Linked DNA regions of Arabidopsis thaliana. The protein of the gene in region 2 purifies or fractionates together with the protein of the main gene of each other region. This does not show direct contact. Each region holds a gene or a part of one and is shown on either strand. Other genes may lie near its edges.

What was found.
Region 1: the proteins of AT1G70600 (region 2) and AT1G74270 fractionate together in Arabidopsis thaliana (co-fractionation; one large-scale study listed by BioGRID). This does not show direct contact.
Region 3: the proteins of AT1G70600 (region 2) and AT1G07070 fractionate together in Arabidopsis thaliana (co-fractionation; one large-scale study listed by BioGRID). This does not show direct contact.

Annotation. Positions count from the first base shown.
Region 1 is NC_003070.9:27,927,543-27,931,118, forward strand, and holds AT1G74270 (Ribosomal protein L35Ae family protein), read right to left. Parts: upstream 1,996-3,576; 5' UTR 1,925-1,995; coding exon 1,893-1,924; intron 1,664-1,892; coding exon 1,628-1,663; intron 1,238-1,627; coding exon 1,009-1,237; intron 915-1,008; coding exon 873-914; 3' UTR 629-872; downstream 1-628. Other genes in the region: PUR4 (purine biosynthesis 4), read right to left, coding at 181-222; AT1G74280 (alpha/beta-Hydrolases superfamily protein), read left to right, coding at 2,216-2,536, 2,787-3,576.
Region 2 is NC_003070.9:26,620,184-26,623,689, forward strand, and holds AT1G70600 (Ribosomal protein L18e/L15 superfamily protein), read right to left. Parts: upstream 1,597-3,506; 5' UTR 1,426-1,596; coding exon 985-1,425; 3' UTR 638-984; downstream 1-637. Other genes in the region: ABCB26 (transporter associated with antigen processing protein 1), read left to right, coding at 1,903-2,352, 2,476-2,603, 2,758-2,800, 2,890-2,934, 3,033-3,155, 3,246-3,349, 3,466-3,506.
Region 3 is NC_003070.9:2,166,990-2,170,545, reverse strand, and holds AT1G07070 (Ribosomal protein L35Ae family protein), read right to left. Parts: upstream 1,986-3,556; 5' UTR 1,895-1,985; coding exon 1,863-1,894; intron 1,638-1,862; coding exon 1,602-1,637; intron 1,206-1,601; coding exon 977-1,205; intron 885-976; coding exon 843-884; 3' UTR 589-842; downstream 1-588. Other genes in the region: AT1G07080 (Thioredoxin superfamily protein), read right to left, coding at 1-22, 196-477; DFO (uncharacterized protein), read left to right, coding at 2,149-2,288, 2,374-2,581, 2,732-2,875, 3,199-3,340.

The DNA.
Region 1 (3,576 bases), 1.3 Mb from region 2:
CTAAGTTACTGCATTCAACATCAACAGAACTTCAAATTCTCAATATAAAGTACTTTTCGAAATCATCCTTATAATCAATCTATGAAAAGATTAAGCAACAGAACGGAATCAAATAAGTTCATCGATCAATCGACACAAAACTTGGACCACTGATAAGAATAGCAGTAAGAGAATATTTACGTTTAGAAACAGAGCCGCACGAGTTGCTTGGGAGGTATTCATCGTCGCGAGATATGACCGGAACAGCAAACAAAGTGAAAAGAGGGTTTAGGGTTTTTCTCTGTTACTGTCTTAACGGGACCGAAGCTCCGACTCCGAGAGTACGGCAGTCGACACAGAGTTCTTGTCTGGTCTCTCTTCTCAACGAATCTTAGGTTTGTTGGTACTTTTTTGTTTACATGAGAACAAAATTCTGATTGAAAATTCTAAAGTTGAGCCTAGGTAAGCCCAATAAAGGTCTAATGGGCCTAAGGGCCGATATCACAAATCGAGTTTCAAATGTTTCAGTTTACAACTTCAATCAGCTCTTGTTTTTTGATTATTTTGAGTGATTTTCGATTTTCAGACTTCAACAATTAACATATGCCATGGATGATTCTGAGAATTTAAGTGTTTCTAAGAACTAATTATAAAGTTGTAATAGTGATTTGAGAAAATATGTTACCATTCGTCTGTTTTAATTCGTTATAAAAGGGGAAAAGGGAGTCTAATTTGGGATGAAAAACCGGATCCATGATCAAAGTCAATTTAGAGAATCTCCAAACACTTCAAACAAAGAAAGGAAATGCTTTCAATATCAAAATACAAAATAACAAACTAGTGAACAAAACCAAGGCGGCTAAATTATAAGTTTAAGCCATTTTTGCATTGCTTCATATGTTACTCGGATACATGAAGACTCTCACTCTGCTTCCCTGCAAGAACATAAGGAATAATATCTTGTTAAAAACCCAAGCAAAAGATTTCACTTCTAAACAGAGAAGATGATTATAGAATCTGTTTAAGTACCATGGACTTGGGAGGAAGGTTGGATGTGAATTTGGCACGGACAACACCGCTGTTACCGTGAGGCCTGGTAACCTTTCCCCAGATACAGCGGTAGTGGCTACCGTTCTTCTTTGTCTTAGCCTTGTAGATGTAAGCCATCCTCTTTCCCTTGTACCAGTTTACCTCCTCCTGAGTGTTAACTCCTTCGATCTGGACGAGGGACGTGTTTGGATACTGGTTGGACTTCGACCTGCACACCATAGTAAATGTCAGACCAGAGGAAGTATCAAACAGTAAGGTCTCGGTTTTCAGCATGACAAGGTTATTAAAGCAGAACTCAGTTAACAACAGTGTTGATTAATAGAAATACAAAGCAGCTCAAAAATAAAATGCCAGATAAGTGTCCTAAGAAATGTAGACAACTAACTAATCAAGAGTCAAAATGTTCCCATTTAGTGAAAGCATCAGACACATAATCTGATCATAAGTGGACGAGAAGCTTGGTTATAGGACTCGTTTCTGTCAAATTGGCTTACATAAATACCAATCAACGTTCATTACATGGAATCTTATTGGCGTCCAATCATAAGCTATAAGCAGTGTAAAATGGAAAACGAAAGCGATGAAAGAAATGGGTCACCTTTTGTATCCGAGGATGGTTCCCCTCACGTAGAGTCTGCAAAATTAGATAACATAAAAAGAATCAGACTTTCGCATTATCGATGATTACAAGATTACTAAACCATGAAGAATCAGCTCAAATCTAGACAATAACAATAGTAGCAAAACAGTTTCAGAAGTGAGGAAAACAGAGCAAATCTCAAATGATACACCGATAGAAAACCATCTTGGTGATATAGATCAAACTTGAAGAAGAACGAAAAGAGAAATAGAAGAAGAAAGACCTGACTCGTTCTCCTTGGCGTCCCTTGACCATTTTCGATTCCGCCGAATATCCAAAGGCTGCTGCTGCTACTCGAGGGAGAAAAACGAAGAAGAAGCCCTAATATGGGCTTATGGGCCTTAACACTATTGGGGCATTAGTATATTAAGCATCTTGGGCCATTACTATAATGAATAACATATAAAAATGGGCTTCTCTATTTTTATCTCAAAACAACAACAAAAAAACGATCTCTATGTTGTAGTTCTTGAACAGTTGGCTCTCTTTTCAAGAATCGTCGCCGTTGACCTCCGTGCCTCTCCGATCAACTTCCCATTCTTTTAAATGACGAGAGATTCATCAAGGAACAGCTCATTAAAGCCATGGCCTCGAAAAAAATTTCTTTTTCCTTCTGTTGTGATTGTCATTGTTGGGATAATCGTGGCGTTTACTTATCAGTCCAAGTTGAAACCACCTCCGCCGAAGCTATGTGGCTCCTCCGGTGGTCCACCGATCACAGCGCCGCGGATAAAGCTTCAAGATGGGAGGTATTTGGCTTACAAAGAGCATGGACTTCCAAGAGAGAAAGCTAACCGCAAAATCGTCTTCATCCATGGATCCGATTGTTGTAGACACGATGCCGTTTTCGCCACTCTGCTTTCTCCGGTAAGTTTTACACAATCAAGATTATGCATGTCTATATGCTTCTATCGTTGATTTGATAGATAGTTGTTATGTAATAATACTTTGATCACTATGTTTTAATCATTTATTTAGTTAGTGGCATGTTAATTTGTAGCAAGTAGTGTTGTTAAAAATCCTTGTAGTATAGAGAAGTTTAGTGAGAAAGTTATTTGAGAGTGACGTTTTCGGTTTTTTATTGGGACCTCTAACAGTGTGTCAATACATTTTATAGGATTTAGTAGAGGAACTAGGTGTATATATGGTTTCATTCGACAGACCGGGCTATTGTGAGAGTGATCCGCATCCAAGTCGTACACCGCGAAGCTTGGTTTCGGATATTGAAGAGCTAGCTGATCAGTTGAGTCTAGGATCGAAATTTTATGTGCTCGGGTACTCGATGGGAGGACAAGCAGCATGGGGATGTCTTAAATACATTCCTCATAGGTTAGCCGGAGTAACACTAGTTGCTCCAGTGGTTAACTATTATTGGAAGAACTTACCTTTGAACGTTTCCACTGAAGGTTTTAACTTTCAACAAAAGAGAGATCAATTGGCAGTTCGTGTTGCTCACTATACTCCTTGGCTTATCTATTGGTGGAACACACAAAAATGGTTCCCTGGTTCGAGTATTGCAAACCGAGATCACAGTCTCTTGGCACAGCCGGATAAAGATATCATTTCGAAGCTTGGTTCTTCGAGGAAACCACATTGGGCAGAGGTAAGGCAGCAAGGAATACATGAGAGTATTAACCGTGACATGATCGTTGGTTTTGGGAACTGGGAATTTGGTCCTTTAGACCTCGAGAATCCGTTTTTGAATAAGGAAGGCTCTGTGCATTTGTGGCAAGGAGATGAGGACATGTTAGTACCTGCGAAGCTGCAGCGTTACCTTGCTCATCAGCTTCCATGGGTTCACTATCATGAGGTTCCGAGAAGTGGCCACTTCTTCCACTACACTAAAGGTGTAGTTGATGACATTGTAAAGTCGCTCTTAACCTCCGATGTAAGAGCATCTAGAGTTT
Region 2 (3,506 bases):
TCTAGTGATTGGCTAGTTACATGTCCATAACTTAAATTCCAATTTGACAATGTATCAATGACAAAACCTTATTTCAGATTTCTACTTTTAGTTCGTACTCATGTTTTAATCCAAATGGTGCGACTGATAAATTTGTATCCACACAATACCACCAAAATTGTAAATCCGCGTTTGCAGTAGGATAATAAATATTACAGATTGTTTCGATTTTGGTTTTCTTTTGTGGGTTTGAAATGTTCCATGGTGTAGTGTACAAGTAATGATGATTTGAAAACACAAACTTTATATGAATAACATGTAAACCAAGCTTATCCCAAACATATGCGATATGATAAATATCATACGGTATATCATTTCTCATAGCACGACACTGAGCGTACCATTTGAAAAATTCAACGATTTCTTCAGATCTTGCTTGAAAATAAAGTTTGAATCTCAAAACTCCGTTCAAAATAGAAGAATATCAAAAACACGATGGATACAGTATAATATCCAAACACATTATTTTTTCGTCCAAATCTATGTGACTATGTTGACTCCGTTCAAATCTATGTGACAATCTGTACTATTGGGAAATTTGAAATGCATTTCCGCATATTTACGTAAATACATTACTAAGCAAAATCACATTCTAGCTGTTTCAACGTTACATATAACTAATCAAATGCAACAACACCTTCTCACTTTGATGACAATCGAACATCCAATTAAAAATTCAACAAGAACAATGCATATGTATGGTAGAAACAATCACAACGAGTTAAAAGGATCGTAACGAATGAATCATGACAGACAATTAAACCAGCATACGCAATTATAAGTCTGAATTCGGAATACCAAACATTTATCAAAATCCAACAAAAGGTTCATAAAACTACTAACTTTAAAGAGATCTCGCTCTTTCCAAAATCCAAAAGACAACAAAAGATGATAAAACTCCATAGAAGATTCAAAAACAGAGTTAAGCAAATAAATTCACCTAACTTAAGCAGTAAGCACAACAGCACCACCAGCTTCCTTAATCTTCTTCTCAGCAGTCTTCGAAATAAGCTTCGCCTTCACAACGAACGGCTTGTTCTCAGGCAAATGACCTTTACCCAAAACCTTGAAGAAACCATGTTGAGTCACATCGATCAACGGAACATTGTCCTTGGTTGATTTCGCCTTCACATCTTCAGGGACGAGTGACCAAAGCTTGTCGAGGTTAACGATTGGGCAGAAGAACTTGTTCCTCAGCTTGTGGAAATACCTCATACCAACTTTACCGAAGTAACCTGGATGGTACTTGTCGAAGAGGATCCTGTGGTGATGCATACCTCCAGCGTTACCACGACCTCCGGGATGCTTACGGTGCTTACCGATACGCCCATGTCCGGCGCTGACGTGACCTCTCTTCTTCCTGTTCTTCTTGAATCTGGTTGTCATTTTCGCCGATCTGCTACACTCTCCTCCCTCCCTTTCTCTCTTTGCGGCTAGGGTTTCTTAAGATATCACTGAGTTTATAAAGACGATAAGGATTTTTACGTTTCCTATTTTACCCTCTAGGGTTTACGACATTTTGGGCTATTTAGTTATAACGCGAGATGGGCCTTTAGGCCCGATTATATCGTAGAGGGGGAAGAGAGATCATCTACCACAACCACATGATTGAACCTTCACGCGCCTTTCTGACGCGCCGGTGTTGTTGTTGTTACCATGTGGTTCATGCCTTCGGTGGTGGATCTCCGTGGGTTCCACCTCGGTTTATTTTGGTTGACACGATTCTTCCTTACGTGACGTCTTTCTTCTTCAATTTCGAAACGACGCGTTTTAATTCTTCTTCTGCATTTCATATGAACCAAGGAAAAAGCTTGAAGCGTCGTGACTCGTGAAGCTTCTTCATCTTTAGTCCACCGAACATAAATGGCTCAGCAAGTACTCGGCTGCACGAGCCGCCCCATCCGCGTTTCTCTTCACCGGTGTTCTGTTATTACCACCAGTGACACTATCAGAAGGAAGAATCTCCGATTCGTTAGAAACCCGAGATTGTCGTTTTCTCTTCAATCTTCAACTAGAAATTATCGTCTGCCTTCGATTAATTGCTCGACGGTGAATGGAGCAGTAGCGGAAACTGCGGAATATTACGAAGGAGAAGGAGATAACGTTTCACTTGCTGAGAAAATCCGGCAATGTATTGATTTCCTCCGGACGATTTTACCAGGTGGAAGCTGGTGGAGTTTCTCCGATGAAGTTGATGGTAGGTTCATTGCTAAGCCTGTGACTGTTTGGCGTGCGTTAAGTCGGATGTGGGAACTTGTGGCTGAGGATCGTTGGGTTATCTTCGCTGCGTTTTCCACTCTTATAGTAGCCGCGGTGCGTGGTTCTTCCTTGGTTATGTATTTGTAGAAGTATTCTGAATCTCTACTTAGAAATTCTTAGTTCTAATGAGGAATCAGAATCGTCCTTTTCTTATACATTTTGTTTACTTGTTTACAGCTTTCAGAGATAACTATTCCGCATTTTTTAACAGCTTCGATCTTCTCGGCACAAAGTGGTGATATCGCTGTGTTTCATCGAAATGTCAAGCTCTTGGTTACGTTATGTGTTACTTCAGGCATTTGCAGGTCAAGATCTTGTATGATCAAACACTTGTCTCTGGTTTTATTTGGTTTCAAGTTGAATTAGAGAGTTACTCTTGCTGTCTAACCAACTTGTTGTTTTTGAGATTCTTTTATAAAAGGATTTCCATCTGACTCTTTGTTCAACTCATAATTTCAGTGGCATACGAGGATGCTTCTTTGGGATTGCTAACATGATACTTGTGAGTTCCTTTTTATTTTCTGCTTAAATCTACTCAGTAGTCTTACCTTCTCAGAACATGATATGATGGGATCTCACCCTACTCTGTAGGTGAAACGAATGAGGGAAACACTATACTCCACTCTTCTCTTCCAGGTCCTGAAAGTTTCTAGCTGTTTTGAATCTTGGTAGCTCATGTTTACCTTTAATATCTTTTTAGCTACTTTCGTTAACTTGGCTGGATTTTGCATCAGGATATATCATTTTTCGACTCTCAAACTGTTGGTGACTTAACAAGCAGACTTGGCTCAGACTGTCAGCAAGTCTCGAGGGTCATCGGAAATGATCTGAACATGATATTTCGCAATGTTCTTCAGGTCCTCTGCTACAATATAATTTCCATCTCGCCTGAAGTGTGTTTTTTGCATGGTTGACTTCTGAATGTATGTTTACCTTCTTTCTTTTAGGGTACAGGGGCATTGATTTATTTGCTAATTTTGTCTTGGCCCCTTGGGCTGTGCACATTGGTGATATGCTGTATTTTGGCTGCGGTTATGTTCGTTTATGGGATGTGAGATTCTACCAAAACTTGTCTCACTTTTATTAAGAATACTAATCTGTGAAGATATAATTGATTATACACCTGGCAGCTGAAACTGATACTTAAGCCATCTGGTCATGTTGTAGGTACCAAAAGAAGACAGCGAAGCTAATTCAGGAGATCACAG
Region 3 (3,556 bases), about 24 Mb from region 2:
AGAAGCATTCAAATGCCCCATGCTGCAACACAAAAGCAACAAGATTTATGCAAATGAGAGAAGACCAATTTGTCAATCTCAGATGCAAACAACATCAAATTTCAGTTAAGGAAAGGGTGATTTTCTCAAAATTGAAGCTTAATTCAATCGAATCGGAAACATCGAATTCGTAAATTGAAGAAAACGAAGGAGTACCTGGCAAACGGCAGTGACGTTATCGGAACGGAGCTTGGTATTGCCCCACGGAGAGAGATGGAGATCGACGATTGATATGAGATCGTCTTCGAAGAGCTTCGCGAGGTGGTTAACAATGAAGGAAGAGCAGTAGGGACAGAGAGACTCGTAGTACAGGCCCACCGAGACTTTAGGCGACGAAGATGGAAGAGATACCCCAGAATAATCAGATGATGATGCAAAGGGGAAAAGAAAAACGTAGCAGACTAGGACTGGAAGAAGTTTGCTCGGCATCGACGCCATGGATGCAAATGCAAGGTTTTTGTGTCGTCGCCTTCTTCTTCTTCAAAGAACATTCAATAAATATGAAAGAGCCGAGAGAAATTAGATAATTGCTATTCCCAATGGTACCAATTTATTACAGACACGTGTAGCTTCGAAAGCCACGTGTCTCACTTTCATTCTGTAACCGTCAATAGTTCAACACAAAGTAAGCTCAGGCTTTGCAAAATTTGGGTAAACTTGTGAACTCGACTTATCAAAAAGGCTCATTTTAACCAAAATTGTTAACTCCAAAAAAGGTTCAGGATAAAGAGTCAAATAATAAACAAGGTCCATAAACAAAGGCTTGCAGATAATAAACCACTTGATGACGAGTACACACTGCTTTAAATGTTACTCGGATACATAAACACTCGAACTCGAGATCCCTGCAAAAAAACAATCAACCAACTGTATTAGAAGAGCTAGGAAAGAGATAACAACAATTTCAAACATATATAACTGAAATGATTTGGATTACCATTGATTTAGGAGGCAAGTTTGATGTGAATTTGGCTCGAACAACGCCACTGTTACCGTGAGGCCTTGTGACTTTGCCCCAAATGCATCGGTAGTGACTACCGTTCTTCTTGGTCTTGGCTTTGTAGATGTAAGCCATCCTTTTACCTTTGTACCATGACACTTCCTCAGTGGTGTTAACTCCCTCGACTTGGACTAGTGACGTGTTGGGATACTGGTTTGACTTCGACCTGTACATATTTACACACAAAACGTGTTTAAGGACACCATTCTGACAAGATCCAAAACAGAAACAACACTAAATGGTAGATTGTTTTGCTTAAGTGTATACGCTAAAACTTTATTGCCAATTGGTAAACGTAGAGCTCGTGACTATAACAAGCAAAATCAAGATAGTCTCCTTATTTTGTATACCCTATTCCCAAATTCAACAATCTAAGATCGGACGAAGACAAGTGAGTCTACTTTCTCAGGAACTAACTTTTGAATCCTATAAGCAACTAAACTGAGGTCATAAAAAAAGTGTATTAACCAGTATTATCAGCCAAGATTCACTGTTTATGGGAGCTAGAACAAAAACGACTAAAGTGGAAAACAACAACAACAAATCATGTATCAATGCGCACCTTTTGTAGCCAAGTATGGTTCCCCTGACATAGAGTCTGCATCACATAAAAACAAAATTGAGTGAGACAAAAGCTTAATTAAGACTAAAGTTGAGATAATTTGGTACACAGAGATTGAAACACATCCAAAATCCAGCTGAGAAAAGCTAAAAGCGAGATCCATAGAAAGTGTAAAAACGCCAATGATGCCAGCTAATTTCAGGAGCAATGTGAAGCTTTAGCAGATACAGAATTAGAGAACATAGAAGATGAATAACCAACCTGACACGTTCTCCTTGGCGTCCTTTCACCATTTTTGTCGAATCGTCCGGTGGAAGAAATTAGCAGTTGCCTTCAGAAAACGGAGACGAAAACTCAAAAAAACCTAATAAGCGAATCCTTATCAGTCGCGGAGGTAATTAGATGGCAAGTAAACGTCATCGATTTGATATTAATGGGCCTATAAATCTACATATGGGCCGAATGTCAACTCGTCAGGCTATCGGCCCCTTGCTTATGTTGTCCTTAAATGAGTTCTTATAATGCGCCGTCAAAATTAACAATTAAGATGCGCCATAACATAAAATTCAAATCAAAGGGCACATTGAAAATTCGAAACACCGCTCAAATTTCTCTCTGGAAAAAATGTTCAGATTCGATGATCGCTGATCAGACTTATCTCTTTATCAATCGGGTCCAAGACAGAAGGTTCTTCAATCCATCCGAAGCATCTGATTCTCAATTTCTCTTGTGTGTGTGGCTAGAACAGGGTTTCTTCTCACTGATTGTGCAGGTTCGATGAAGAATCTCTTCGGATTCTCGAGTTGTCTCTGGTTGCAATGAATGTGAAATCGTTTTTGGAAGTTAGATCTCGATTGAGAGATTTCATGAGATCTGAATCGGTTGTTATATTCGGTGAGCTCACCGGAGAATCCATGGTCGCAAAACTCTCCGTACTTGAATTCTTCGCTCGTGCTTTTGCTCTTCTCGGTGATATGGAGGTTCGTATACTGTCCTTGTCGATTTTGAATAAATTCGAAATTATCTTTCAGCTTCTTGTTCGATTATGAGTGAAGATTTGCAGATGGATTTGTGCACTTTACTCAACTTTTCTGTAATGTATGTATATATGGTTGTTATATGTTGAGTAGAGTTGTTTGGCTATGAGGTATGAGGCATTGAATTTGCGGCAGCTCAAGTCTCCTAGCTGTTTGTGGTTAGGGGTTTCACATTCAGAATGGACCAAATTTGCAGTCCAATCTATGGAAAATGGATTCCCTTCCATTGCAGGAAAGGTAAATTACTCTTCCTTCTGTAGTATATGATCTCGTTGCTTTTGGGAATGGTTGGAGAAATTCACATAAGAGGAATGGTTAGAGATTCTGTACATGTTTCTTGGAAAGTGAGTTTACTTTGTAATTGTGTTAACAAGTTCATGCTTGTATGATCGGAATTGTTGCTTTACCAATTTATTCAATTTTTTGGATACATAGCAATTTGTTATTTGTTACATTTTTCTGTTCCCACATGGAAGTACAGATCAGATAGGTTCTTTGCTTCTTTTGATTTTGACTTGTTCTTACTATGAGGTATGACATTTTGATGAGTTTTTACGTAGGCGTCTGAAAATGCCCTGTTGAGCCTTAAGAAGGATAGTCTTATTGAACCAAAATCAGAAGATAATTCTGACATTTTGGATGCTGCTGAGAAAGTAAGGAGACTAAGGGATTCAGCTGCCTCGTTAACATCTTCACATTCAGGTATTTTCATTTATATCGTGTCTTCTTTAAAGTTTGCTGTTTGTAACAGACTTCTGACTACATTTTGATTGCTTTCTTCGTCTCTATCTAAAGTATTGGTCTTAAATTACTCGTTTTATTCCCACCGTTCAATGCCTTCAATGTAGTGTGACTGTTATGTATGGGAGAATCCATTGAGTTTGATAGAATCTTGGAAATCTACTGGTTGGAAAGATT